Linked DNA regions of Alligator mississippiensis. The protein of the gene in region 2 purifies or fractionates together with the protein of the main gene of each other region. This does not show direct contact. Links are inferred from orthologs where the notes say so. Each region holds a gene or a part of one and is shown on either strand. Other genes may lie near its edges. The genes, in order: COPG1, COPA, COPG2 and ARCN1.

The links.
Region 1: the proteins of COPA (region 2) and COPG1 purify together in Homo sapiens (affinity purification with mass spectrometry; 6 studies listed by BioGRID and IntAct, counting the BioPlex papers as one, with this or other methods). This does not show direct contact. The link is inferred for Alligator mississippiensis from reciprocal best matches to the Homo sapiens genes COPA and COPG1.
Region 3: the proteins of COPA (region 2) and COPG2 fractionate together in Homo sapiens (co-fractionation; 4 studies listed by BioGRID and IntAct, with this or other methods). This does not show direct contact. The link is inferred for Alligator mississippiensis from reciprocal best matches to the Homo sapiens genes COPA and COPG2.
Region 4: the proteins of COPA (region 2) and ARCN1 fractionate together in Homo sapiens (co-fractionation; 4 studies listed by BioGRID and IntAct, with this or other methods). This does not show direct contact. The link is inferred for Alligator mississippiensis from reciprocal best matches to the Homo sapiens genes COPA and ARCN1.

What each region holds. Positions count from the first base shown.
Region 1 is NC_081835.1:19,921,561-19,928,853, forward strand, and holds the start of COPG1 (coatomer subunit gamma-1), read right to left. Parts: upstream 3,007-7,293; 5' UTR 2,900-3,006; coding exon 2,863-2,899; intron 1-2,862. UniProt on the Homo sapiens protein: The coatomer is a cytosolic protein complex that binds to dilysine motifs and reversibly associates with Golgi non-clathrin-coated vesicles, which further mediate biosynthetic protein transport from the ER, via the Golgi up to the trans Golgi network.
Region 2 is NC_081838.1:15,764,744-15,771,842, forward strand, and holds the start of COPA (coatomer subunit alpha), read right to left. Parts: upstream 3,017-7,099; 5' UTR 2,949-3,016; coding exon 2,909-2,948; intron 1,541-2,908; coding exon 1,427-1,540; intron 891-1,426; coding exon 817-890; intron 480-816; coding exon 399-479; intron 1-398. Other genes in the region: NCSTN (nicastrin), read left to right, coding at 3,165-3,282, 4,748-4,852, 5,540-5,663, 6,981-7,099. UniProt on the Homo sapiens protein: The coatomer is a cytosolic protein complex that binds to dilysine motifs and reversibly associates with Golgi non-clathrin-coated vesicles, which further mediate biosynthetic protein transport from the ER, via the Golgi up to the trans Golgi network.
Region 3 is NC_081827.1:5,731,141-5,738,724, forward strand, and holds the start of COPG2 (coatomer subunit gamma-2), read right to left. Parts: upstream 3,002-7,584; 5' UTR 2,958-3,001; coding exon 2,882-2,957; intron 1,606-2,881; exon of another isoform or gene 1,511-1,605; coding exon of another isoform or gene 1,447-1,510; intron 1-1,446. Other genes in the region: tubulin alpha-3 chain, read left to right, coding at 6,907-7,129, 7,358-7,506. UniProt on the Homo sapiens protein: The coatomer is a cytosolic protein complex that binds to dilysine motifs and reversibly associates with Golgi non-clathrin-coated vesicles, which further mediate biosynthetic protein transport from the ER, via the Golgi up to the trans Golgi network.
Region 4 is NC_081839.1:34,978,743-34,985,742, reverse strand, and holds the start of ARCN1 (coatomer subunit delta), read right to left. Parts: upstream 3,015-7,000; 5' UTR 2,907-3,014; coding exon 2,853-2,906; intron 1,162-2,852; coding exon 898-1,161; intron 1-897. Other genes in the region: IFT46 (intraflagellar transport protein 46 homolog), read left to right, coding at 3,822-4,355, 4,437-4,613, 4,786-4,913, 5,498-5,572, 5,668-5,761, 6,205-6,333, 6,725-6,846. UniProt on the Homo sapiens protein: Component of the coatomer, a cytosolic protein complex that binds to dilysine motifs and reversibly associates with Golgi non-clathrin-coated vesicles, which further mediate biosynthetic protein transport from the ER, via the Golgi up to the trans Golgi network.

The DNA.
Region 1 (7,293 bases), on a different chromosome or scaffold from region 2:
TCCAACATAGCCATAAACCCACAAAGCTCTACCTCCCCATCCCCCCGGTAAATCAGGACTGTGTTAGACTCTGCTCCATCATGCAATCAGCGGAATCCATCAATAAGCTATTTTTTCAGATCTACAGTTAATTAAAGCGAACAAGGCAGTGGACTGGACAGCCTGGAAATAGAGTCTCTTTAATCATCCTATTTAACAGACCAAACGCTACTTGATGAAAAACATCAACAATTAGAGCTGGAACGCTCACAGGGCAAGAACTACAATTATGTGTAGCATCCATTATCTGCCCTTCTTGGACGTATCAGCGAGTTTCAGCCTTGCCTGAGTTGGCAGTTATTGATAAGCAATTTTCATTAGTGCCTAAACTCAATTTGCCATGTGGACCCAACATGACCCAAAGCCACCCTCGCTCAACACTGGTGCTGCCTGCATTCAGTATAGTCCCTGACATGTAATGCCCTGTTATGATCTGGCCCTGAAGAATTGTATAAGGGAGAAGCAGTCTGTGTGAGACTCAGATCTATACTTAAAGGCACTGGTTCCTTTCATGTAGGCAAGAGATACCCCTCCACCTTGGGATCCATTCACCAACACAACATGTGGCTGAACAAAGCTTAAATGTGCAGATGAAGAGAGAAGGGAGACGACAAGAGAGGAGCGATGAATGCCAGTGTTTGTAGATGTACGTACTCCAAAAGCGGGTTGAATAAGCTCACCTAGCAGGGAAGGCTTAACAGCATCCAGTGCCCCTAACTCTGCTCACTCCTGCAACCCAAGGATCACTTTGGCTTCTAATATTTGTAATTCTCAAACCTGTCATTAATATTACTAACCATCATCAATTGCTTGACCCTTCTCCAACTCCTTGCACCTAAGCATCTTAAGGCATTTTATCTGTGTTGACTTAACTACTAAAGCATCCTGCAACCCAAATAATTATCCCCATTTCAGAGATGGGGAAAACCAAGGCACATAAGTTATGGGCTACAGTTACCAAAATGACCTCTAATTGAGTACTGGTTTGTGGACATGCTTCCGCTGACCTCCGCGGGGTGTTGGGAATGCTCAGCACTGCTACATGCCTTGCACTGGACACTCAGAAGTTGGGGCCACTTTTGAAATTGCCCTTACATGGCTTGCCCAGGCTGCATAAGAAGGATGTGGAAGAACTGGAAAAGATCTCTGGTCCCCTGACTACCAGGTTTTACCCACAAAATGATCTTCTCTGTCCTTTTACGATTGGATGTACTAGACTAATCTGTGAGGTCAGTAAGCTAAGGGACACGCTACATCACTTAAACCTGAACTTGGCAAGAGTTCAAGACTGAAAGAAATCCTCTGTGGATTAGCTTTTTGTTGTGCATGTAGCTCGGAGAGAGGAAACTTCATTTAACATGGAAAAGCCTAATGCAAACAAGCACCAAGAACCAGAGCAAAAATATTCACGTGGACTTGGAGGGTCTCCAAGATGTGCAGGCCGGGTGGATACAGTAAATAAAAGCTTGTAGGAAGCAGGGTGAAGTACACTGAGGTGGACAGAGTGCCAAAGCCACAACACAAAGGACCAATCGCATCTTCAATCAGCCTCCTTAACAGCCTCTCTGACATTTGCACAGACCATGAGAGGCCCTGACATGTGTCTTAGGTGCCATTATATAGAGTCCCTGGAGAGAGAGCCCAAAAAACTAGTCCCACCCCCAAAAGCACAAAATCATTAGGATCGTTAGGAAGTACTGAGCTGAAGGAGAAACAGGCTCAGAGAAGGCCCAAACCTATATCAACAGGTCTGACATGCATCAAAATAGAAATCATAGAGAAGAGCTGGAAGGGACCTCTGGGGTCATCAAGTCCAAGGAAATCCCTTCCTGGCAGGTCTGCTGGGCAACCTCCACTTGGCTCTGGCCAAGCTTGTCATCTACCAGACTTGGAAGGACACCCAGGGTGGAGCCAACCTGGGGACCTGTGGGCAGATCTTCTTCCTCCACGCATATCTCCAGGCAGTTTTACTGGGCAGCATTTGCAGGCTCCCTAGATGCATTCAAGGGCTGCTTTCCTGTCCTGCCTTTGTGTTCACGTCTCCAGGCAGAGTTTCACTGGCTCCTTGGACTTGGTGGTGAGCCAGTGGGTGCTGGCCAGCGTGCTCTGCTCTGTGTCCCTCCATGGTGTGCCCCTTTTAAACCTCTGATCTTCACTCCTGTCCCCATTTTCTTCTTTAGGTGTCCCCAGCAATAATGTCATGTGCACTTTGTGGCACCCCATATTAAAGGGGGGCTTGTAGCTTTACATGGTGGGCATTAGCCCGCATTCCCAATGCACACCACATAGCCCTGGATGCGTTTGAGGAGCAGTGGGCACCAGCTGATGTCCCCCGCTCCGCGCCCCCCTCCAATCCCTCGTTATCACTCCAACCCTCGCCCCTGTCCTCCACGATATACCACGGTAGCACCCCCTGTTGCTGAGCATTTCCAGGTTGGCCTGGCCCCGTGGAGCCAGCCAGCCTGTCCTTGCAGAGGTGGAAACACCCCTGGACACGGATGGCCGAGGTCAGGTTCCACGTGCAGAGAACGTACGAACCCTGGGCAGGATCAGCACCTGGGGCAGGCTGTGTCGCCAGCCCTGGCACTGCACCTGGCAGGGGATGGGGCAGCAGTGCAGCCCGGTGGTACCTCCAGCAGGGCACCAGGACGACAGCAGAGGGGCACCGGTGTGGCCCGGTACCTGCAGATGCCAGCCCAGCATCACCGCAGCCCCTGCCCCTGCCCCACTGCAGAAAGCCCTGGCCCTGCTGTCCTTGCATGGGCAGGTGCCCCTGCCCCGCCCATCCCCACCACCAGGGGGCGTCCTGCGGCCGCGCCTCACCCGACTCCTCGTCCTTCTTATCGAACTTCTTCAGCATCCTGGCGCAGGGGGTGGGGGGCGCGTGGAACGCAAAGCCCGGCACGGGGGGCAGAGGGTCGCGAGCCCAGCAGCGGCGCCACTTCCTGCCCGCACGCCACTTCCTGCCAGGCTGTCACTGGGACACCTCAGCCCGCCCGTCTCGCGCATGTGCGCACGCGCAAGGCGCCCGGAGCCGTCACTCACCTCGACGTGGCCGGGCGAAAGGAGGGGGCTGCGCATGCGCTATGCGGAAGGTGGTGCTAGGTGGTAGGCGGGGCACGGCCCAACCCAGGGCTGCGACCCGAGAGGGAGGCAGCCGGTTGCGCATGCGCGGGGCGGTGTCCGGCGCTGGCGCTGGGTCGGGACGAGGCTGGTTTGTGGTCTGGGGCAGGGAGCGGGTTTTAAATATGAAATTGGAAGGTCAATTCCCGTATTTTCTGAAAAACTGTCATGCACTGAAACAAAAAGTGTGCACATAAGACTTTTTAAAGTGACGTCATGTTATGTGGTCGCTTCTGCTGGTGTCATCGCAGGCTGCGCCCCCCTGCTTGGCACTGCCCGCTCAGCCTTTTTTTGCAACTATTTAGTTGGTCTAATAAAAGAGACCTCCTCTCCCCAAAGACTTGGCCAGGAGGTTTTGGTTTAAGTCTTTCTCCAACTGCGGGTTAAACTGAATTTATTACTGCGATTGTTCTTGTCTCTGTTTCGCGGCTCGGGGCTGCGTCTTGTAAATCTTGTACGCTTTATTTTGCAGCAGGCTGTATTAGGTACGTGCCTGGAATTTGCAAGCGAGGCAGGCGCAGAACCCCTTTGACTTCCAATCAATTTAAGATGTTACATAGTATTTAAAATAAAGCTCTTAGTATTATTACACAATGGGATTTAGCGATGTGTTTGTTATGCAGCTACTTTCTATTGCTCACTGTTTAAATCTCCAGTTAAAGATAAATGGCAGATATGACTCACTTTATTCCTTCTCAAATTCCAATTCAATGCGAGTGAGAACGGGTGAGATCATAGGATTAAATAAACTAGTTCAGCTCAGATTGTCGGTGGAGTGACTTACTTGGTTTTTTTCCCCCAAATATAATGATGTGAAAAAATTATTGTACATTTTGAACACTTTCAGTATTATCTGTTGTACAAGGGTTAAAATTATCATACAAATACAGTTTGCGTGAGCAGACTCTGGAACGGACTCCCAGCAGGGGTGGTGCAGGCACCTACTCTGGAGGTCTTCAAAAGGAGACTGGACACACACCTTGCTGGTGTTATTTGACCCCAGTTGTCTTTTCTGCCCAGAGCAGCAGCCAGTGGTAAGCACCTGCAGCTGGGAGCCCTCTCAGCTGATAGTGCTCCCAGCCCCAGGGGTGCACCTGGCTACATCTTCCATTAATGGTGTGATAGGAACCAGACACAAACTTACTACATGTGTTTTGTGGAATAATTTGGTGCCTTATTCCTTATGTATCATATCACTGAATGATTGAACGTGTGGCCAGGTTACAACTTAAGATGTGATTAACTGGTTAATCATGCTTGAAATGTAACGTGTGGCAGGGGCCAGAGTAATTTAGCACTATGAGTCCTCAACACCCTTGGCTGCCTCTGTCTCAGTCCATTCCCCTCTCTTGTGTGCCTGTGTGGGATGTGGCATCCATTGAACATTTCACTAACAATGGTTTGGGAATGAGAATGGACACAAAATCCCATTAAAAAATGCAGGACCAAGGGTTTCTGAGGGTGCTATCTTTTATTGGACCAACTGCCTGGACCATCACAGCTACAGCATCACTCCAACACTACTTAAAAATGCAGGGGCATTTAGGGAAACCTGGAATTAATTCAGTGAAATTCAGCCAGGACACGGCTGTGCACCTCCCATAATGACTAAAGGAAGGCAGGGCTTACATTTTACATCTCATCTGAAAGCCGACACTTCCAGCAATGGAGCACAGCTCCGCCTAGCGTCATGCTACCAGGCTGTTCAGCGCTGATTCAGACTGAAAGGTGTTACCTACCACTATAATCGCTGAGGATTGCTATAGCCCCACCTGTGAGTGAACACCCAAGGACTCTCCCAGTTCAGATCCAGTCCAGCTCTGCTCAGCAAGTGAGATGGGACATCCGAGTGGGTCATGGCACTGGCTGCATGTCCTCCATCCTCTCTGGACGGAGAGGTCAGACTGTACAGAAGCCGCATTGTGGGGAATGTCATCATTCTCTGGAAAAATCATGGCACCTAGGAGTCTAAGTGTTGGCAAAAGGAAGCCTAGCTGTTACTACTCACCCCTAGCACTGTTTATTGGTAGAGTTAGCACCTGTTGCTGAAACCTCCAGGCGCTGCACCAATTTATCTTACCTGCCTGACCCTCTGAATCACAAAGTGCACAGGAGCCCTTCTTAAGAAACATCTTGCCAGATACTGTAACTTTGCTGCTAGCACCTACTGCAAGGATCTGTAAGGAGAAGCGTACTTACCAGTGATCAAGTAGTCATCAAAGAACATGGCAGTGTCCAGAAACAGCTGCAGCTGGGCTGAGGAGGGCTTCTCCTTCCAGCCAGTCCTTTACCTGTCCTGTGCAAACAGGCAGTGGACTTTGTACCTGGTGGCTGGTCCCTGCTCTCTGCTGTTATCTCAAAGGCTCACCAAAGACGTGGGAGTCAGGGTCCAGCGGTGAAATGTGACGTTTCACATTTACACACAGTTGCATTCATGGCTGGCAAGAGCGTTGTTTCTGCTAAAACCCTGGTTGGAGACCCAAATAAGACATGTGGAGCAAGTGGGGGGAGGTCAAATACTTGACTGACATAAACTGGTGCCATTTCACTGCTTTCCATGAACCAGGTTTAATTTGGCTCCTATTTCTATTGCCGAATGACTCTGCTTTCTCTTTATTCCCTATACACACCATTGAATTTGGTCAAGGAGGATTTGAACATGGCTTGTTGCCAGAGATTGTCACTGCTATACCTGGGTCAGCTCCAAAGCAGTTGTTCAAGGGCTTTGCACAATTACATCCTGCTAGATGGGAACTGCTCTCCTTGCGGCCTGCTATCATCACAGCAGTTCCTGACCCACATTGTCTCCACTTCACTCTTGGTCCAGAAGGACCTCACAAGAGATAATTTTACTCTTCAGTCAGTTGACAACCGCAGGGGTGACTTTGCCTCTTACTTGCCACCTTACTCCCAAATGACTTGCACACTGCCAGCATGGTACACTTCTATCAACCCCTGGCTTGGTTACTACCCTATTCAGGAGACAAAATGCCAATAGAAGGAAGGAGCAACTTGCTGCAGCTTCACTTATTTCTGGGCTCATCTATTGTCTGGTCCCCAACGATAGAGATGCATGCTACCTTGGGGGACAGGGTCCTACCAGGTTATGATGATGCAGTCAGATGTGACATACTAGTCGAATGGTTATACAGACAACAGAAGTGTTTGATAAGACTCCTTTTATTTTACATATCCCATCTTTCTTTGCACTCTCTCCTAAATTCTTCAGTGTGATAAATATAAACTCTCTTATACAGGAGAATGAACATCTTTTTTTTATAAAGAGAGATGCATAGAGATAGCAAGAAGGAAACACATTTAAGACCTTGTATTTCAAATGTCTGGAAACTGGCATATTTAAAAATATACAGCAGTACAGTGTATTGGGTGAAGTGCCAGATTTGGTAGCCTGAGTCACAAAGAGACAGTTGTCCCTGCAGCCGGAGGGAAACCTGTCTAGAGAGAAATCCAGAGGTCATGTCTGATCCCATAATGTTGTAAGCAGGAGGTATTGTTCTACTGCAACAACAGAGCTACGCCGACATAAAGGGAAGAGCCAGGCCTAATTGACTTGTGTTTCTTTTCCCAGGGTCCCAGAGATTGCTGAGACAAATATCCATTGTTCCTGTCCATTAGCTCTTAACCTGTCTCAATTTCCTGTAAACCTCACCTGTCAATTTTGCTTTCTGTATTATCCCCAGAGTTGTTTCATTTTCTGTCCAAAGCACAGGGAAACATTCTCCTTAAAGATCAACTTCCTTTCGTTAAAACAAAACTGTCAAGAAATAGTTTCTTGCTAGGGGCCCCCAAGCTACCTGCCAGCCAGGGGTTGGGGGCCAGGGATCTGTAAAATGTTGGCTGTCGACTGGGTCAGGAGACGGGAGCAGCATTTATCTCATTTTTTGCTTGTTCTGTGTCACACAGCAACTCTGGTGCCTCTCCCACTTCCCACATTAGTCTGACAGAAGCCCCTGGGGCTGTTTGGACTTGAAAGTGGCTCCAGAATATGCAGACAGAAGGTACCGTGGATTCCCAGGCCCTCCTCTCTGCTTGCTTGTTCCCTGACTTTTCCATACCCGACCCATTATTGATCATTATCCTCCCAACACCTGTGAAGTAGGAACTATCTTT
Region 2 (7,099 bases):
CTCAGAGGCAGGAATCAAGACTTTCTTTACGACTGAACAGCCCTCAGCATATTGTGTTAATCTGGGATCCTAGTTTTCTCCAATTTAAAAAAAACAAAACAATTTCTAGATTTAAAAAAGCAATCCAAAATCCATATCTTTCTGTGATTAAAAATGAAAACCACTAATATATAGATATCTATAGTGCGGTTTCATTTTAATCACAGAAAAAATGTGGATTTTGGGTTACTTTTTTAAACCACAAATGGGAGATTCTTTTTTTTTAATCAGAGAAAACCAGGAACCCTTATGATTACTACCATAAAAGAAAAGCAGACAGAGAGTATTTCCTCTACAGAAAATGAGGCAAGGTGCATAACAATGACTTATACTTCAAGTTACACTGCAGGAAAACTTACATGGTGGAAGAAGGTGGTACGAATGTAATCCAGGTGTCCCAGCAGGGTGAAAAGGCAGCGGCGTAGCTTATAATTCCAGACCTGGACAACAATAAAACAAAACACTGTGAGAGGCTTGCCAAACTCAGCCCCGATCCTTGCTGACAACTTGTTCTGGACCTGCAAGAAGCCAGCTGCCTCACAGACTATAGTCTCTTTCATTTTACATGACCCGAGTCAAGTGAGAAACAGACCTCATCACTAAGTTTAGCTCCCCGTGATGCCCTCCTGAGCTCAACTTCACCATTTCCATTGTCTTTTGATTTTTTATTATTAGGCTCTAAGCTTGCACGCATGTTTCACACATTTTACAGCTTTCCCATGCTCTACTACACACCCTGACTCTTTGGACAATGGGAAGTAGGAAGGAAGGTTTTACCTTGATTTTGTAGTCATCACCTCCAGAGACAAAGAGAGGTTGCTGTTTGTGGAAATCAATACCACGGACAGGTCCTGCAAGGGGAAATGGGGCATGTGAGACACAGGGATAGAGCTAATAGTTACATCAGCAGTCAGCGCAAGCTATCACTTCACTTGAAGAAGAGTGCAGCTCTATCACTTCCTACTGCGTTTCAATGGATGAAGTAACGCCTCAAAGTGACAGAGCAGCTTCCTAAGACCTCCTCAAAGCAAGTTTTCTTCTCTCTACTGGGCTTTTCTAGCCACATCAATATAATACCTAAGAATCTATTACACGTCCAACAAAGCTATCCTTAAGACACCCCTGTAAAGCAAAGCAGCATTATCTTCATGTTACAGCTCAGGAACAGTGCAAAGAGCAAGTAATTTGCCCAAAGCCAAAGACAGAATATGCAACACAGCTAGAATTAGAAACTAGACCTCTGGAAGCCCAAACCTGGGAATCAAGTAAAAGATCACGCTTCTTCCCCTCACATGCTTGTCATTTTCTGCAAAGTGCCTGCTGCACTTCAGTCTCTTCCTGAAGTGTTATCTCCTACATCCCCCCCTACTCCAGCTCACACACTCACCATCGTGCTCATCAAATTTGTCAATGAGGGTGCACATCCGGTAATCCCACAACTGGATCACACCATTGTGCAAACTTGTTAGGATCCAGGGCCTCTTTGGGTGAAAGCTGAGCCCTAAAACAGACAGACAAAGAAATACATAGGGGTCAAGTTTCCAGTTAAGTGCAAACTCTGGAGACAAAGATAGCAGTGGAAGCAGGGAAGAACCAGTCATCTGGACCTGCCAGGTCTCAAACACAGGATACAAGTGGCTGTTAAACTCCCAAAGAGGAAGCATGCAAACATACCTTGCTGGGAGGTTCATAGGTCATAGCTGCTGAGAGATTTATTGCATCATAGTTCTGATTACAAATGAGTTTCAGCAATAAGAACGAGGAAGCATCAGCTCTCTATGAACATTTGGAAATAAACCTGGCACAGCCCAATTGAGATGCTTAAAAAGCACATCCTCAAGCACCACATAGAACATGATCATCATCAGTGTTAATTTTCAGGCTCTTCTCACCTTGAGATACCCCAAAGGGGCCTCAGGGTGGGTAGAAGTCGTGGAATCACAGACAACGAGGGCTGGGAGGGACCTCAGGAGGTCACATCAAATCCAAGCCCCTGCTCCAAGCAGGACCAGCCCCAACTCCATCATCCCAGCCAAAGCTTTGTCTAGCCAGGTCTTAAAAACCTCCAAGGATGGAAATGCCACCATCTCTCTTCCACCTTCCTAATAAGACAATTTTTCCTAATATCCAACCTAAACCTCCCATGCTGCAAGTTAAGACCATTGCTCCTTGTTCTGTCATTTTCAAAAAAAAAAAAAAGAAAATTCAGGTCCTTCCAAGGGGCCACAATCAGGCACCTAAAAGCTTCACTGAAAACATCAGCTAAGGGCTCCAAGATAAAGGCAGGCTGCTTTACTCCCATGTGCCGCCAATGGCTTTTTTTAAAGCCTCCCAGCGCTGCGGGGACGGATGTGCAGACAGAAAGCAGCAACTGTCACCGGTGGTAAAAGATATCACTGACATCTACCACCCACGAGCTCGTAACACCGGCCTAGAACCAGCAACGAGCTAGGAGTTAACAAACATTAAGAGACACCAGACCCAGGGGTTTCAGGAGACTGGCGCTGCCAGCCAGGCCCCGGGGCTGGACTGATAACACCCCTGATGCCAGCTGAGAGGGGCAGACGCTGGGGCAGATGCAGAGGGCAGAGGCAGAGGCGGGGGCAGGAGGCAGCAGCAGGGGGGGGAAGAGAAACCGGGGTCAGGACTGGGGTGTGGGGGAGCCCACGGGAGGCAAAATAGCGTGTGAGGGGGGGCATGGAAACTGGGATGTAGGTTGGGGGAGGGGGGGGTGCAGGGGATGGACATAGGGAAGAGTGGAGCAGGGCGCTGGGATGGGCCCGATCCTGAGAAGCGCCGTGCTGAGGGAGGGGCCTGGACTTGAGGGGAGGGTGCTGGGATGGGCCCGATCCTGGGGAGGCCCCGTCACCTTTCACCCGGGCCGACTTGGTCTCGAACTTGGTGAGCATCGCGACCCGGCCCCGACGCCCTCCTCGGCCTGGCCTCCACGTCGGCACCGGAACTGCCCCACGCCGCCACTTCCGCTTCCACCCCGGCCCGCCGGAACCATAGAGAGCGAGTCCTCCGGGGCGGAAGGAAGGGGTGGGGGGGTGCGTCGTGCGCAGGCGCACTACCCCCACCCCCTTTTCCCCCGGGCAGGGGCGGAAGCGGAAGTGCCAACCAAGATGGCGGTAGCGGCGGGGCAAGCCGGGGGGCTCCGGCGGGCGGGAGGAGGAGGACCCGGAGCCCCGTGGGGCGGCGGGGCGCTGCTCCGCGGGATCCTGCTCTGTGTGGCGGCCTCGGGTGAGTCTAGCTGAGGTGACCCCCAAGCAAAGCCCTTGGCCGAGGGCGACGGAAAGCCGGGCGGTTCAAACAACGCTGCTTTGCGTGCTGTTTTTCCCTCCCTCCCCCAGAGCACTGGGCTTGGCTCGGACCTCAGGGCAGGACCACGCTCAATACGAGACCGCGTCTTCCCCTCGCTCTCCTGACTCGCAGGTTCCTTGCAGGCGAGCCCAGCTTCAGCTGCGAGACTCGAAACGTTCGTTTCGAGGCCGTTTCAATGCCCTTCGTTTCGTTGCTTCGCTTCGAGCTCCAAACGAAGCAGCCGGCAAAACTTCGCGTAGCCCCGTGCTTCCTCCCGTGCGTTTCCTTCTGCCGGCCGGGGTGGCGCTGCCTGCTTGTAAAGTCGACCGCACGATTTTGGCGGATACAAAGCAAAAGTGGCAGACTAACTGACACGCTTAACGTGGCTCCAAGTGGGTTTTTAGATGCTGTTGCGAAGCATTATAAAGCAGACAGGCAATGCATTGACATTTTAAAGGTATGCCAGAGGCAAGGAGTTTGGGGTTTATCTCTTATTGGACCAACTGCATGGTTGGGATAAAGCTGGACACGCTTTTGAATGCAAGGTGTTCTTCCGATGGTCAAAATGTACAGAAGATGCAAAGGCTTGGTGAAAGGTGGATTCTCGCCGCTCCTGTATCAGGAGGATCATTGGTGATCAGTTTGCAACTCAGCCTGAGACCCAGCTGCAGGGAGTCGGCGGTGAAAGCCTGCCTGGCTGGGAGCAGCTATAAAGGATAACCAGGAAGTGCGGGTGGGGATAGAGAGGGAGTTAAGAGCTCCAGAAGCGAAGAGCAAGAGGGAGGAGGTGGTGGTGCCTGGGGAAAAGTACAGAGCCTGTCTCACTCCTCCCAAGCTCTGAAGGAAGGCTGCAAGTTTGGGGTTTGCCATTTGCATGTTTGCTTGGTTTGTTGATTTTCTTTTTTTTGTGGGGACAAGGCTGCCCCATGTAAAATAAACTGTCTGGAAACCTTGAACATGGTGCTGACTGGCTTTAATAAGGAAGCTGGGTGAGTGACCTGCTTCCAGTCATGATAGTAGAGAGGGAAATGTGGGCATACGAGCAGTGTGACCTTATCTGGAACATCCCACTAAAGTGGGTGGTGCGATAAAAGAAATTGCTCCCCGAAAATCCTTGCCTCTGGATAAAAGAGCTCCTGGCTCCCAATCCTGGCATGGTCCCCTGAAGCATTTTTTAGTGGACCCATCACGGGTGTTGTGTTTCTGACGTGCATTTGCAGTGATCATCACATAGTGCTCTTTGCTGATTTTTTTTATTTTTTTTTTTTTATTCCGTGTGTTCCTAAATAAACCAGTCAATGTACGTTCAGTATTTTTGGGCAGGGACAGAGGTAACAATTGTCAAAGAATGCTAAAAAATAATCTCTCCATCCTGTTCATCTTCAGTTTTGTCCTGCCTTTTCAGGTTCTTGTTGGGGTAATTCTGTGGAGAGGAAAATCTATATTACCTTAAATAAGACTGCCCCATGTGTTCGTCTCTTGAATGCTACTCATCAAATAGGCTGTCAGTGTAAGTATGACCGAGCACTTGTCTTTAGCAGTTCTTCTCCTTTAAGCTGGGAGGATGCAAGATAAGGGAGACGTGTGTACACCTTAAACATATGGGAAACCCTCAGATCCTATGCCTTTTCTGATCAGAGTTGTCCCAGAAGCAGACGCAGTTGAAAGAGTAATATAATGTAACTGTTTGCTTTGAGTTTAATCAGTTGGGCATCTTCCTTTTCCTCTCATGTCTCTAGGCTAGTATTTTAAAGCTAGATAGGTTATAAGCTTAGTTTAGTTTTGACTTTGTGCATGTGTGTGTTTGTGTGCTGTCAAGGTTTGGGGTTTCTTAGGCTGGGAAGAGGAGGAAGACAAATAAGGAACGCTGATTTTGAAGGGTTTCCACATTGTGGTTGGTGAAAGGGCTTCCTGCCAGTTAGCATGTTGCTGATTTGTGGTTGAACATCTTGTTTCCTCAGTAGAAGCTTTGCCCCACAGTGGATCTTGTCTGCTGTGGTTAAAGGATGGAAATGCACATGGTCTAACAAATAAGCTAGCATAGAGGGGTTCTCCAGCTCTTCCAGGCCGTGGGGTGAGCCATGGTTTAATTCAGACTGCCTTCTAGTCTCCTCCCTTCCAATACCCAGGAGGTGTACAGCTTTGAGGGAAATGGATTTCACTGAAACATGGTGATGTTGTGCATGTCTCTCTGCAGCCTCTATTAATGGAGATACAGGAGTGATCCATGTGGTTGAGAAGGAGCAGGACCTGAAGTGGGTGCTTTCAGATGGACCCCATCCTCCATACATGGTCCTGCTAGAAGGGGAGCTCTTCACCAGGTAATGGGCCACTGTCAGTGCTAACAATTATTGACCCTCCTCTCCTCTGAGATGACAAACAGGGGCACTGTAATTTGGTGGCCAAAACTCTGATTAGGACTCCAAGGAGAGATGCCTGTGGCTTTTTCAGTAGCCTCAGGTGGAATTTTAACCCAAGCAGGGTGTTTGAGGGACAGCCTTCCCATGGCTCATTTTATGGGTTGTTGCGCCCTTGCCACCCTCCAGAGAAGGCAGTGCTGAATATCGGTGCCTTGTTTAAAAAAGCATTTGTGCATTTGATGCGAGTTAGTACCTTGCTTGTTTGTCTTAATGGATGGTTTAGTAGTTCGAACAAAACTCAGGAGCCCAGTTCTACATCCATGGCAATTTGTGAACCCTCCTTAGGGTTGCGTTTACAAGCACTGGTAGAGGCTGTGAGGAAGAGCTTTAACGTGTAGTATAGAGCCTTAGCATAGCCTTGGAGGAATTATTTACATCTCAGCCTTTTTGGTAAGGTTTTGTTTTCCACTACAGTTTGAATTTCTATCTCTTTCTTCCTTCAGCACAGGATGTCATTTAAAAAAAATAGTAATGTTTAGGGAAGAAAAGGCCCTTTTCAGGGAGGGAAGCAGCATGTCAGTAACATCAATAACATTTGTCTGTTTTGGCTCTCGTTCCTATTGTCAGATGAATGAAGTCCTTGGCCATCTCTCTTGGACTTGACATTTGAGCTGAGAGATGCAGTGCCCAACCCACTTTCTTGTCCTGTCTGGGTCCGCAACTGGCCAAGTGGCCTGAGTGGGGGTGGGGAAATGACCTTCCCAAGGGGCTTGACACATCATCCAGCTGGGTGTCAGCAGTGCAAACCATGCAAGTGCTACATCACTGATGAGGATGCACGGTCAGCTTCATCTTTCCTTGATTTCACTTGGTGGTACCTGATCCTGGTCTGTGCCTAGGTCATGGTCCTATGCAGTACGTGGGTATTGGCTATCTGGAGTTGTGCTTATTCCCTCTGTTTTCCTGTTTCCTAAAGAGTTCTTCCTGGTGTGAACTGTGAGTGGGTGATGGAGTGGATTGTGTCAGTGGAGTAGGTGAGCTGTGTATTTAGTGTTCCAGTCCACTGCTTAATGATCGTGTAACCTCAGGGAAGTTGCTTTGTGCAGCCATGAGACATTAAAAAGTACAACTCTCAGGAATGCCGCAGGGACTTCATGAATATTTTTATTTATTTTAATTATTTTTCATGAGGGTCTTTGATCCTTTCACTGTCTTCCCCTCTGAGATCGGTAGAGTATGCTGGTCTGTTTTACCCCCATTTCTTTTTTTTTCTTCCAGGGAGCTATTGCAACAGCTGAAGGGAACCTCACGAGTTTCTGGGCTGGCTGTGGCCCTCTCCAGACCGAGTCCTTTACCAGGATTCTCCCCTGGCTTAAAATGCCCCAATGATGGGTTTG
Region 3 (7,584 bases), on a different chromosome or scaffold from region 2:
GGAGCCATCACATTCACATGTCCCCAGAACAAACCCCTGTCATGTTGTCTGCTACAAATCACAATATAATTGCTAACACTAGCCAGCCTTAGTCAAACTTTCAGACGACCTTCCAGAAAGTCCTGTCCTTAGAAAAGGTAGAAGTTACATAACAGAGCAGCGCATCCCTCTGAAACGTTACCAGGTATCTACAGTCCAGGAGGCAAACGCTTACCTACACTATTGTTGGCAAAGTTACACCACCTCTGCTAAGCTCCTGCCACCATCCAGCCTACGCAGACACACCTGTGCCTTTGGCTGTAGTCCCTTTGGCATCTGGTGCCCTGTTCTCAAGTCCCACTTCCTGCTGTGGCCTCACAGCTGCTGAGCGGAGCCACACAGTGCTGTAGACGTGTTTGGACACCTATGTCATCTGACAGCTGGTGGTCTGTCCGCTGCCAAGACTTCTGCCAGCAGAGACACGGATGTGGAAAGGAGGCTAAATCTGTCAGCACAGGTAAGTACAACAGATTGTAAGAGACTTCCCACTAGCAAAGGCCAAGGGGGGCAACCTATTTGGCCCCACCACATCTCCAATTTCAGGAAGAGTAAAGGAACTTGGATTTCTACCATGGCATCAGCCCTAAACCCTTGTTTGAGGCTCTGTATCAGCCTCTGGGTACCCAGTAAGTTTATAACTTGAAACCTTTCTATTAGTTAAGAGACAGTAAGGTTTTTCTATTGCCTCTTTCCATGCCAGACCCTCCTAGTTCCTGCAAAAGAGGGACAGGGGCTCTATTAATCCATCCCTCTTACCCATGAGACATCATATTTTGAACTGTCTTTCATGGATTGTAGAGAAGCAAGGCTGGGAGGGACCTCCAGAGGTCATCTAGCCCAATCCCCTGCCTGAGGCAGGATCAATCTTATCCAAACCACCCTAGACAAATCCATACTCTGAACTCTTCAGGAAACTAGTCAATCCTGACGCAACACAAAACACGGCGCCCTAATGTGCCACGAGTAAAGCCGGGGGACCACGGCAGCCAACGTCCTGCTGCTACAAGAGTTGTTACAGCGGACCTCACTGCTCCCTACACAGGAAGACAAACACACCCACGGTCTGTTCCTGTCTGACCACGGGTTAAAGCTTCTTCCTCACTCCCGATATGGTATCAGTCTGCCCCCGAGCGGGGGGACCAGACTGTCTAGGAAGGAACCTCTGGCTTCGTCCCAGCAGAAGCACTGGCACGGCCCAGTCAAAATCCCCAGCCCTAGCTGCCGCCAACATCCCACGACTGAGAAAGGCTTTAAAAAAAACAAAACACAAAATTCCTGACACTTACAGCAGCAGGAAGGAAAAAAATCCCCTCCCAGCCCAATGCAGAAACCAGCAAAGCTACAAAACCTGGGAAATACCCCCAGGAAAAACACAGGCATAGCTATGCTAGTCCACCCCCGACCAACCTCCGCTCGAACACCTCCAGTGACGGAGAGCCCACGACTTCCCTGGGTGTCTGCTCCACTCCATGTCCTATCGCCAATCCCAGTTCCTGTTTCTCAGCGTCTCCAGCAGCAACATGACATTAATCAGAGCCACCCGTTTCACTGCTCTGCCAAGGATTCCTCACGATAGAAACAAAACGATCTAAATCATTAAAAGTTACCTTAAAAGCTACGCTCTGCTGCTGCTTGGCAAAGCGCCGAGGAGAACCACCCGAACCGCTGCCCCTGCGCTTGTCGGCAAGGAAACGACGCTTACAGCCTCCCAGCGGCATCTTGGCCACCTTCGCAACCGCACAGTTAGGCGGTTTACTGAACGAAGACTGAAATCCGGAGGGAAATAACGGCTCATCCACCCCACACCCGCCCAGGAGGGAATTCAAGTCGACTGTCCAAACCTCGACTAAACCGTTCAATCTTAACAGGCGGACGCTGCCGCGGTCTGCACGCAAACAGCGAGCACAAGTTAGACAGGGCGCTTTTGAGCCTGATAGCGAGCAGCGCTGCGGAGATCGGATGAGGCAATGCCAGCGAGCTCCAAGTATTTTCTGTCCTGGGCAGCACGGAGGTTGCCAACAAGGCGGTCAGCAAGCGCCGGCTGCGGATTGAAGGTTATTTTTACCCAGTGCACACCCGGCCGGTCGGAAAGGAGAGGGAGCTGTGCGCGGGGTAAGAGGAGGCTGATTTTGGGGCATCTGATGCATTGTCGCGTCACGGCCGATCAACGAGTTTCGACACGGCAGCTCCTCCGTTCAAAATCCTAGACGTGTCCATGCGCTGCAGGTCGCTCGCTGAAGTCTAGGGGGTTCCAGGTCTGCGTGACACGGCGCGCCCGCGAAAGGATCCCGAGGCACCTCGGGGGGGGGCTGAGAATCACTGCTTTAGCCTCACAGAGACCATAGGTCGGTTGAGAATCACTGCTCTAACCCCACTGACATCGTATGTCCCCGTATCACCCGGTTGAGAATCACTGCTTTACCCCACTGACACCATATGGCCAAGTACTGCCTGGTTGAGAATCACTGCTTTAGCCCCAGTGACACCACGTGGCACCATACACCCAGTTGAGAATAATTGTTTTACCCTGCTGACATCATACCCGCTGACATCACACATCCCCCATATCACCCGGTTGGGAATCATTGCTGTACCCCACTGACATCACACATCCCCATGTCACCCGGTTGAGAATCAGCGCTGTAACCCCACTGACACCATATGGCCAAGTGTCACCCGGTTGAGAATCACTGCTCAGGCCCTGCAGACACCATCGGGGCCCCTAGAACGCGCACGACGGCGGCCGGGAAGGGCCCTCCCCGCGGGGACAGGTCCGCTACTATCCCAGCAGCCCCTGCGCGCGACGGGCGCGACTGGCCCGACACCGCTCTACGTCACAGACCCGGAAATGCAGCGGGCCGGCCGCCCCGCCCGCCCCTACCGGCCTCCTCGTCCTTCTTGTCGAACTTTTTAATCATGTCGCAGCCGCTTGCTGCCCCTCGGAGGTGCAGCCGCGAGGGAACTTCCGCCGGAAGACCCGCCCCGCCGTCTGCCGCAGCGCGTCTTCTCATTGGCCCGCGGAGCTGCCTGTCAGAGCGAACGCTCGCCGGCTGAGAGAGGCGGGACACGCTCAGACCGGGATGGGGGGGAGGGGGGGCTCTTAAAGGTGCAGCGGCCTTATTTTAGAGCTGAGCCCACGTGCACTGAGTCCAGCTGGCCCAGCCAGGGGTGAAGCATGCCACTGTGCCCCCCTCACTGCCAGGCTGCACAATGTCGCCCTCCAGCAGTCAGAGCCGTCCTGGTGCAACAGTGCAGGGCTGTTTTCCTTGCTCCCCTTCATTCCCGTCATGGAGCAGAGCATCCCTGGGCAGTGCCCGCCGGGTCCGTTCAAGGGCACGTGCCCCCCATGCACCACCCTGGACCCATGCACCGCCCGGGCTGAGCAGCGCCTGCCCCTCCATTCCTGCCCTCACTGCGGGGGCCTCGATCTGTGCCCCCTTCCCCCCATAGACTTACCTGCAGGGAGCTGCTCTCTCTATTTCCCAGCCACACGCGCGTGTGCAGGCGAGCATGTGCACGTGGCGCCCCCAGCTCCCACTGCATCCTGCACCCAGCAGCCCCTTGCAGGCTGCAATGCTTCCCGCCTGCAAAGGGAAACCCACCATTTCCCAATTTGCAGACGCCAATCCATGTCGAATGCCGTCCCGCAGTCCCACAGCCCAGATTGGCACTTGAGGTTCCCATTGCAGGACTGTCCCACCCCATGCAGGACGGGCGGTCACCCTAGTCTGGCATATCTCCCCTTGGCACTATTTATTAACCTTGGACCATCACTCCCATCCCTGGTTTTTTATTATTTGTCCCCAGCAATCGCCTTTTCTCTAGCCTCCCCGTCTGAGGGGGGAGAATAGGTTACCTGGACATCCCTCAAGGTGACAAATAAGCCTGTTTACCCTACAGTGCAAATGTCTGACCCATGCTCTACTTACTTTGCACCTGTGAGTTCACTGGAAGTCATAGTTTTGGGGGGGGGGTTAATTTAGAAGGAAAAATTTGTGTGTCAAATTAGCCAAATCTGGTGCAAATCCATTTGAACCATCCAAGATGATGTGGTCCTGCTACCGGCAAGTAGCCTCCACCCCAGCCTTAGGCTTCAGATACTTCCAAATCCTTTGGTGGGCATCCTACGTGCAGGCCCAAGCCTGGAGGCTTGGGGTTCGGATGCCCCCGAGTTTCGCTTGCCCTCAGCCGCACGGTGGCAGGAACAAGCTGAGGAGGAGTGAAAGATAGAGGGGTTTTTTTGTTTTTTAATGAAAATTTTCCATGTTCCAAGCCGAATCAGCCAAACCGAATTCCAAATCTGTGAGTTAGTTAAGAACCATAAGTGGTCCTATTGCCGGCAAATATCCTCTACCCCTGCCTGGGGCTCCAGATGTTTCCAAATCATTTGGCGGGCATCGTACGTGCAGGCCTGAAAGTCCCAGTGGCTTGGCTTGGAGGCAGGGGTTTTCCTTGAATGCATGCCGGTCTCCATGCAAAAGCAGGGCTAAGTCCTCCTTGCCTCCAGCTAGTGTGAGGTTGTTCTTTACAGCTGGCCTGGAAGACGGCAGATGCCTCTGCGTGACTTCCTTTATCGTGGAGAAGTTCCTGCACATCAGCTTCCACGCAGCTCTTGGCAGGACGGCACCTTGATCCAATGGCAAGAAGGCCAAGGCAACCGGGGTCTCTTCTGCTGCAGCCTTTGCAGCTGTTGGGATTTTAACACCTTCTTCCGCCTGCTCCGCGGTTGAAGACTCGTTGGCCCATAGCTGGGGGTCTCTGTGGCACACTCTGCATGGCTTCATCTTTTCCATTTTTATTATTACGCTAATTAAGAAGGATAGGGCCTATTAGCTCCTGTAACCCACTTCCTTACGATATCAGGAGACATCCCTCTGACAGATGACACAACAATTATAAGATTAATACAAAGCTATTTCTTATTTAAAAAACAAAGCATTCACCATTTTCTTTGGGGGATTACTATACATCATACCTGGGTGCTTTTCCCCTCATATCTAAGGTAAAATGCCTTGGTTTCAGCTCCTTATCCCTTTCTTTAATTAAAAACAGGCAAAATATGTGCTGAATTTTTATAAATTGAATGTCTTTTCCTTTGTTTTGTTCGCATTAGAGTGATACTTAGAGTATTAGAGCGATGCTTTTATGTCCCAAATACTAGCATAAGCCAGGTTCTGTCTTCCAAGCCCAGGCCACTAATAGCACACATACACATCGTTACCCAGTTGTTTAAGTTTTATTAAACCACCCTGGTCAAAGGAGAAACAAAATTATTTCCCCTTTAAGAAGCTGCTCTTTGCACAGAACAGCTGGGAGGTTTTTTCAGGAGGGGTATAAAATTAGTCAGTGGAAACACTAGTAAGATGGTGTTTTTGCTTGTGGTTAGTTAGTTGGTTTGGGGGTTTTTTGGGCCATGGTAAGTGTTGGCGTGTAGCTTTTTTTTTTTTCCCTATTAAAGTTGAGAGAGCAGATTCCTTTTCTATAGTTAGTTGTTCTGTTTGGGAGTTAATGAATTAGGAAAATAACGTTGATCTGAAATGCTTCTGCCTACTGTGGTTAGGAGGAACAATTGGTGCTCTTCTCAGAGAGCAGGTATCTCTTGTGTTGTTTGCTGCACATGTTTGATAGTGCTTCAGCTAGAACCTGTCTGCACTCTCTTCCTACTCTGCCAGATTCAGTCCTAGTTGACTAAACTTCAAAGTAACTCAAATTCACTCTCCTAACTAGCCTAGAAATATGTAAGGCTATTTCTCTTCTTTACATATGAATGCTGTTTCTAAGGTTAACTAAAAAAACTCTATTTTGCCTGAATGAATGAATCTAATGAAACCACAGCTCTAGGAACAGTAGCCACACCAAAATAAGTGTTATTTGTCCCATTATTTAAACTAAATAAGCTTCAATTTGTGTCTTTAGGCATGCTAGTGCAACTCTAGGTAGCTGTGATCTTTGGTCTTTTCTGAGATGTTCAAAAAGATACCAATGTTGGGTAGCAGGGGGGAGCATGAAGCATGTTGAGGAATGGTCATTTGCAATTGTTCACACCTTGAGTATGAATTTATGAGCATGTTGTTGAATGGCTTTATCCCCGAGTTAAAGGGAAAACCATATCCTCCCATCCTGGGGAATTCGTGATGTGTGGCTCTAGGAACTGCTGGATCTTCAGGGTTTTGTTCTGCTTTGTTTTACTTGTAGCTTCTGCTTCCTACAATTGGCAAGGGGGGCATGGAGGAAACTTAAGTCTACTAGTTGCAAACCCCTGAAATAAACTTTGCTAGCTGACCTCTTATTGAAAAGAGGAACTTTCCTGTAATGGCTTTGTGTAGCTGTCTCCAGTTGCTTATGGTGGTGGCTGGAGAGGGAAGTGGGGGACACACACGCAGTCCAGTTTCTGGGGCCAGAAAGGCCCATTAGGGTGTGGACTGACCTAACCCTTAGGCTGGTTTAAGCCTAGGGTGAACGTTTGGAGCCCCTTTCAAAAGGGGAGCACTTCCAAAGGGCAGCAGCTGGTACCTTCTAATTGTGTGTGAACACACTGAGAGCAACTGAAGTGCAGAACTGGCTCCACTTTCAACACTCCTTCATCCAGGGTTAAAGTTGGAGTTGTTTTGCTGCACTTGAACCCTTTTGATATATCTGCCTATAAGGGTTAACATAACTTTTAGAAGTTTGTGCATCCACACCCATGAATTACTGTACCTAGTTTGACAGCCTGTGTAGCCCAGGCAGAAAGGGCCGAGATTGCTGCCCAGTCCTCCTGGAGTCTTTTTTCCATGGGTGAGGAGGTAAATCGAGTGAGAGAGTAAGGGGACAGTTAAGAAGTGTAGCATCTTGGTGTGACTTCATGTTGCTTCTCTCCCCAACTTTATGCAGAGGGAGTGCATTTCAATCCATATTGGCCAGGCTGGAGTCCAGATGGGCAACGCCTGCTGGGAATTATATTGTCTAGAACATGGGCTCCAACCAAATGGTATCATTTCGGAAACAGCTGAACAAACTGACTCTTCTTTTGGGACCTTCTTCAGTGAAACTGGAGCTGGGAAGTATGTGCCCAGGGCAGTGTTCATAGACCTGGAACCCACGGTCATAGGTAACACACATGGCTGGCTTTAGTCTGATCTGTCTGTGATGCAGGCATGGCTATATTCATTATTGGGGGTAATAGCACCTCGAGATCGAAGTCTTTAAATGCAGCATATGGTTGGTGTGTGTAAAAAAAAAAAAAAAAAAAAAAAAAAAAAAAAAAAAAAAACAAAAAAACAAACAAACAAAAAAAACAAAAAAAAAACAAAACAAAACTTGTAACATGCTTTTCCAGGTGAGATCAGAACTGGCACCTATCGCTCCTTGTTCCATCCAGAGCAGCTCATCACCGGAAAGGAGGATGCAGCCAACAACTATGCTCGGGGTCACTACACTGTTGGAAAGCAAATAATAGATGTGGTCCTAGACAAGACGCGTAAGCTAGTAAGTAGAAATGCCCCTAATCTCAAAGGAAACTTTATATATAGATGTAAATAAATTGAATATGTAAAGACTAATTAA
Region 4 (7,000 bases), on a different chromosome or scaffold from region 2:
GACTCTGCGCTAAGTTGCTCCTCCCACCACACTACAGAGCAAACTTATCTTGGTGCTGAACCCTGGCACAAGGGCTGGACATCATTTATATCATAGTCTGAGGGCCTGAGTGAGACTGAAGTGGCAGAGAGGCTTTACATAGATCTGTTACTGAAGTCATTTCCACCCCCAGGACAATGTTCCTGTGACCCAGCCTTAAGTGACCCCAAAATGCCAGACCAACACTTCTTTAATGCCATAATTCCAGTTCTTCCACTTGCTATCCAAACCAGTTTTCACAGCACTGGAAATAAGCAAAGTGTGGTGATAAGCTGCATGATTTAATAAGTTGCTGAAGACTTTTTAAAAGACTAAATGGAGCTATAATCCTCTGGTTCAGTGACCTTGTAATCCACAGAAGCCTGAGCAGATACTAGATCCCGGGCTGTGCTAAGAGATAGCCAAGACAGCTCCAGAAATTAGTTGGCTGATGGACAATTATAAAGCTTTATAAAGACAACACTTTGAATAAATATGCAAAGAGGTTTTTAAAACAGCATTACTAGTATAGCAAGAACATGCAGTAAATTCTGTTCACACCATTTTACTTTAATAGCTGGTATGAGGGTTTTATTTAGAGCTCTACACACTTGTTAGCTTCTTATCTTAGTGGAAGAGTAGCTTGTTTTTGTTTAAATCTCAATTAAAACTCACTATGTGTCCTACTTGGGCCAGGGTTAGTACAAGAGCTCGCAGGAGCAGGCTCATTAACAGAAACAGGCCACAAAACAATCGGATTGTTTTAAGAAGGCAGAGTACTGCAGGAACAGCTCTCCAATGCAGCACCTCCTAACACTTCTTCCAGGTCAAAGAGCTTACAAGGTTTGTACTAAGCGACCCAGAAGTAGTAGTAGTTACCACTCTGGAGAAGAGCCGGAGTGTTTCTAGGTCCTCTAGGATGTTGCTGTTCTTGGTGGTGATCAGAACCATGTACAACTTCTCCATTGGCTGATACACATAGCGCACGCTCTCTGTTTCCACAAATGTGTGCTGCTTCCCCGTGTTCATGAGCTTGGGGAAGGCTGCCAGCAGCCCCTCGATGCGGGTTCGAGTCATCTCCACGAACTGCCTCGAGACAATGGCCTTCCCTGCCTTTGTGCAAACAGCTGCTGCCAACAGCACCTGCAGCAAATACAAGCATCATTACTACCACTCAGCAGGCAAACAGATTTTCTGGGCAAGTGTCTTCTGAACGGTACTGGTCTATCTGTGAGGAAAGGTCTCTGACCAGAGGTTTGGTTTCTGCATTCCTCTGTATGGTGCCCAGCACACTTAGCGCTCAATGAAGAAAGTATTTACATGACCCTATTTGGCACAGCAACACGAACCCTCACAGGAGGGACCCAAACCTGTGTTCCTCTTGAGACATGATCCAACCCACCTTCCCTTTTCCTTGCTCCTCCCACCCCCCAATCCAGTTCACAACACAGCTCAGCCACCCGCAGTTCTACGCAGGCGTTCACTGCAAAATAAGATTCACACATGTAAAAGACAGCAAATGCCACCTGCTAGGGCAAAGGAACTTGTATCATTAACAGCCTTCAGCTGTTGAACCAATAGCTCATGCATAGATAGGCAAGGAATCGTTGTCCAACGAAGCGCGAATGGCAAAACAGCACTACAAAAATATTAACCTTCTATAAAGCTGTTGCAGTAGTTTGGACATTATTACTGAACAAGTCCAAGTGGCATTTGCTACCTTTTATAAGCCTACAGTAGTATTATTAAATCAATCTGAGACTGGCTCAGGGTATTTCTCGGGTTCCACTGCGTGTGCGCATAAAGCTTCAGGTCACTTAGCCATCAGCTGTTACCTGAGCAATGTTGCTTTTTGCAGATAAGTGTTCATTTTTACCCACTGAAGGGATTTTAGCTCCAAAATTTAGCTTCTGGACCTTCTTTTTACTGAGCTTATTTTCAAATGTTTTTTTTAGTGGCCTGAGGAACTACACTGCATCTTTGTGGTACTGCAGGAATGCCAAGGCACAGAACTAATCAAAAACACAAAGCTGAGTGCCACTGTCCAAACCAAATGAAATGCAAAAATACAAAGGCAACAGATAATAGCAGGAAGTTACAAAACTGCTTTTAAACTGAGATTACAAGCGTTAACAAATGAGGGAATGTCTTTAACTACCGTTCCTCTCTACAGGGCCCATTTCAAAAGTCAGCTATGCTTGTACTGGATTTGTTAATAAAATATTAAACAGGACATTAATGCAGCTCACAGAATGCTCCACTGGACTTTTCAGAGATACTGTCATGAAAACGGTAATATGAAACGTGGCGAAATAGTGACTCCAAACATTTCCTTCTAAAAGAATTTACTTCCACTTGAACGATCAAAGTTTCACAGAGACTTTACCATTTTTTCTTTACTTAGGGCTCTTTGGTAATGAGACAAACACTGGCAACTATCAAAAAGACCTATTTGAGACATCAGTCCAACACACGGCCATAAGTTTTCACTGTATGGGCTCCCAGAGCTGGACGGGGTGTGTGGATGCCTTGAATGAACTGCTTAAATCCTCTCCAGGCTACAACAGCTTTATGGCAGAGCAAATCCCTTGTGAAACAAACAGGCAGAAGTGAGCCTCGTGCACTTCCCTCGTCCGCGGGGCTCAGAGACCAGCTCCACAAACATGTTTTGCATCACTAACAAGACACTCTGCTTTCAGGAGCACCCCTGTACAGAAGGGGACAGGCAGCCTACGTGGGACCGGGGGCCTCCAGCAGATAAAGACTGCCGACTACGAATGGAAGAGGCAAAAGGAGGACTCCACAAGAGATGAGACTCTGCACCATCAACTCACCTGACGGAAGAGGTGGACAGGTGATGGATTACTTGTGCCAGGTAACAGACACATTAGAGGTTATGAAGCCGCAGGAACCTGACCCAGTATCAATCTTAAAGGGCCTTTAAACTACAAAGCATTTGATCCAAGTTTATATGAGGGAGGCAGAGCTCGCCGCGCACAGGTAAGAAGTGGTGATGTGTCACTGTCACATCCTGATCGCTGACAGAACGAATTCGCAACAACAGAACCACTTCCTAGACGTGGAAAACAGAAATCAAACCAACGCGATTGAGGCTTGAACACGTTCCACAGCTGAGCGAGACTCGGTGGCTCTGGACATTGACCTGTTCGTCTTGATTCGACACAGGCAGTATCCCGATAAGTGTGTCAGGAGGGGGGGAGGGGAGCCGCGGGGTGCCTACCACCAGCCCGGCCATTGGTCTCAACCCTGCAAAGATCAGAACGATAAAAATCCTGTTTCCCAAACGTTCGACCGACACAAATAACTTGGGCCCAGACTCCCCAGAAAGACCCTGCACGCAGAGATATGAGGACCCGTCACCTGCGGCAGCCTGCAAGAAACGTCTCTGTCAGTTCACGGCAGCCCGAGGTAGCGAGGGGCAGACCCCGCTTGGATTCCCGGGGCGAGACCGAAGGCGTACAACGCACGCCAGCGCCCGAGCCGGGCTGCGCGGGACGCTGCACGGACCAGCGCGCCGCCACAGCCCCGACCCGCTGCAGCAGCCGCCTCGTCTCGTGTCGTCTGTGCCCCGCCGCGCCGCGGTACGGGCGCTTCACGGCCTCGCTTCTGCTGCCTAAACAATGACCTCCCTCCGGCGGAAACCAGACCCCGACTAAGGATCCGCGGCGCAAAACTATGGCTGAAGTGCTTTCCTCCCGGCCTCAGACAGCCGGGCCGGGCCCGGGCCATGGCTTCGAGGAGCGCCCGCCCGCCCGGGAAGAGGAGGGAAGCGCCGCGCGGGCATGACACGGCGCCGGTCCGCGGGCCTGGCGGGGCCGGAGCGGTGTGGAGGCCCGGCTCGCGGAGGGCAGCGGCGGACACGTCCTGCCGCGGCCGGAACAAAGGGCGCGGGGAGCGAACCCGGCCCGGCCGCACGTGCGCAGCGCATCCAGCCGGTGACAGCGGGCCGCCGCCGCTCGCCTCGGCCCCGCGGCCTGGCGGGGGGCGGCGGCGGGCCCTGCCCGTCCCGGCGACAGCCGCCGCGGGCGGAGGAGGCCCCGGCCCCTTCCACTTGGCCGCAGGCGCGAGAAGGGCCGCGGGTTGCCGGCCGAGCCCCGGCCCGGCACCGCTTACCATGGCGGCGGTGGCGCGCGCGGCCCAGCCCGGCCCGGCCCCGGCCCTGCTCCGTCCTCCGGGCCCGCAAGATGGCGGCGCCGAGCCACGTCCGCAGCCGGAAGCGCCGCCTGCCCCGCCCCGCCCCCCACCCCCGCTCTCGCGAGACCCGGTCGCCACGGCAACGGCAACGGCAACGGCCCGGCGGGATGGCGGCGCTGCAGGTAGCGGGGCCGGGCGGAGGGCTGGGCCAGGGCCGGGCGGTGCGCGGGGCTGGGGCCGAGGCTGAGGCGCGTGTGCCGCAGACGCGGGCGGTGGAGAACCAGCCGTACGACGAGAGCCTGGACGCGGCCGACGCCGAGGAGGAGGCCAGCGCCGCCAGCCCCCCGGGGCGGCCGCCCTCCGCCCGCGCCGCCGCGCCGCGCCGCGCCCCGGGCCCGCCCGACACCAGCAGCGACGAGGAGCGCGGCGCGAGCGGCCGGGTGAGGGGCGCGGGGCAAGGGGCGCGGGCGGGAGCGGCGCGACGCCCCCCGGCCGTGTGGCGGGGCGGGGCGGGGGGAGACTAGGCCGGGGCGGCCCACGGGCGCTCGCGGCCGGGCGGGGGTGTGGGTGTGGGCGTGTGGCGAGCGCCGCGCCGGGCCGGGCTGTCCCCAGCAGAGAGCAGCGCCGCACGCGGCCGCCCCGCGAGGGTTCAGTGCGGACGAGGACGAGGACGAGGACGACAACTCGTCTGAATCGGAGGAGGAGGAGGAGGAGGAGGAGCACGGCGCCCCGCTGCAGGGGTAGGAGGCGAGGGTGCCCCGGCGGCGGGCGAGCCTCATGCGACCCGGCCGGGCCCAGACGTGGAAGTGCAGCGCTGGAGCCCTTCCCCTGCCCGGTCCTGCCCCGCATTCATCCCGGGCACCCCAGCCCCGCGCCCTCCTGGCCGTTTCCCTTCTCTCTTCCCCTGGCAGGAGGGCATTGCGTTCCCAGCCGGCGCCGTGTGGTTGCCGCGGTGGAAGGGCACGGCCCGAGGCCGGGGGGACCGTGGGTCCTTCCTGCCCTGTCGGGCTGCGCGGAGCGAACCGGGACGGCCCGGGCTCCCCTGCTGCAGCACCCGTGCGCGCCGCGCCGCGCCGCGCCACGCAGGCTAGAGCCGCGCCTTGGACTTGCTGAATCGGAGGCGCGAGCTTTGACGAGCAAGAGCGCGCTTCATCCGACGCGGTCAGCTCTTGCTCACCAAAACGTGTGCCTGAGCCTTGGCTCCTGCCCGCCGTCAGCCCAGCACAGCTCTCCGCTTCTGCACACTTTTACCAGATCCCGTGTCACGACAGCGTGATCGGGACCTGTCAAAACAGACTGCATTGGCGTCTCTCTCTCTGTTTAGTGCCTACAACCCAGCAGATTACGATTATCTACCGGTGTCTGCCGAGATTAAAGAACTCTTCCAGTACATCAGGAGGTGAGTGGAGGGCACGCGAGGATCTTCCGCTGGGGGAGGAAGCGTCTTTCCCGGCCGCGTACTCGAGGAGGGTGCGCTCCCCTGCCCTCTCCCAGGTACACCCCACAGACGGTAGAGCTCGAGCACAGCCTGCAGCCTTTCATCCCAGACTTCATTCCAGCCGTTGGCGACATCGATGCCTTCTTAAAGGTACAGCACTGTCGGGTTTCCCTGCAACTCCTCCTGCCCAGCTTCAAGCAGGGCCACCTCCTGCAGGAACCGTCGTAGCAGAGGGAGGGGGAGACCACTGGATTTTTCTCGTTGCTGGAACAGCAGCAATATCGCCTTGCCCGGCGCAGGAGTAGGGACCTGCCCAACTTCCCTTGGTGCATAAGCTGTTGTAGGACATCCATGCAACCAGTTCTCCATTGACTTCCATTAAAACAGGCCATAAGTTCTAGGGGCAGAGACTGCATCTTTGCCTGTGTCTGTTCAGTGGGTAGCTTGACTGGAAGCTCAAACAATCCATATCTCGCACATGAGCAGGTTTATCCATTCCTTCTGGAGTCTAGAGTTTCCCATTTTAAAAATCCTTCACCCTCCTTCGCTTTGGATACAGAACAAAAACAATTGGTTTCTTTCTTAATTTGCAGGTTCCACGTCCTGACGGCAAACCAGATAACCTTGGGCTGTTGGTACTGGATGAGCCGTCTACAAAGCAGTCAGACCCTACAGTGCTCGCTCTCTGGCTAACAGAAAATTCAAAGCAGCACAGTGTCTCAGTAAGTTGCCAAGGGAGGAAAGCTGTTAATCCCATGCTAAGTGTGGTATAAAAATGAGTGTCTTTCTAACCTGCATGGGTGTTCTGATTAGTCTGATGGGGATTTGGATCTGGAAAAAAATTTTCCCTTAAGCCCAGACACTTGGATATGTTTGCAGTTGGCCACAGGCCCCTCCTGATCAAAAGACTTTGGATCCATTTGTTTCCTTCCGTCAGGGCTTTGCTCCCCGATCTGGTTGTTGCTGCCTTTGTCACTGTGTTCTTTCCCTGCTGATCTTTTGCTCCAACGTGCAGAAGTGGGATGGCGTAGAGCAGCAAAACCACCTGGCCCAGTCAGAAACAAAGCCCGCAGGCCTCAGCACGTCTCTCCAGATTCTCATTTCTCTTTTCAGCAGCAGGTAAAAGTGAAGAGCTTGGAAAATGCTGAGAAGAATCCCAAGGCCATCGACAACTGGGTTGAGAGCATAAGTGAATTGCATCGCTTCAAGCCACCTGCCACTGTGCACTACACCAGGTGAGCTCTGCCCCCTCATGCCACCGTAATCTGTGCTGCTTGATCCTTCTTGTCTGGCATGCAGAGAGGCCATTTCAGTGCCTGGTAATCTGCAAAATCTTGTTCCTATCTGCTTTGTCATTCAGACAGTTCTGGCCGTCTTGCTAAAAAAGGG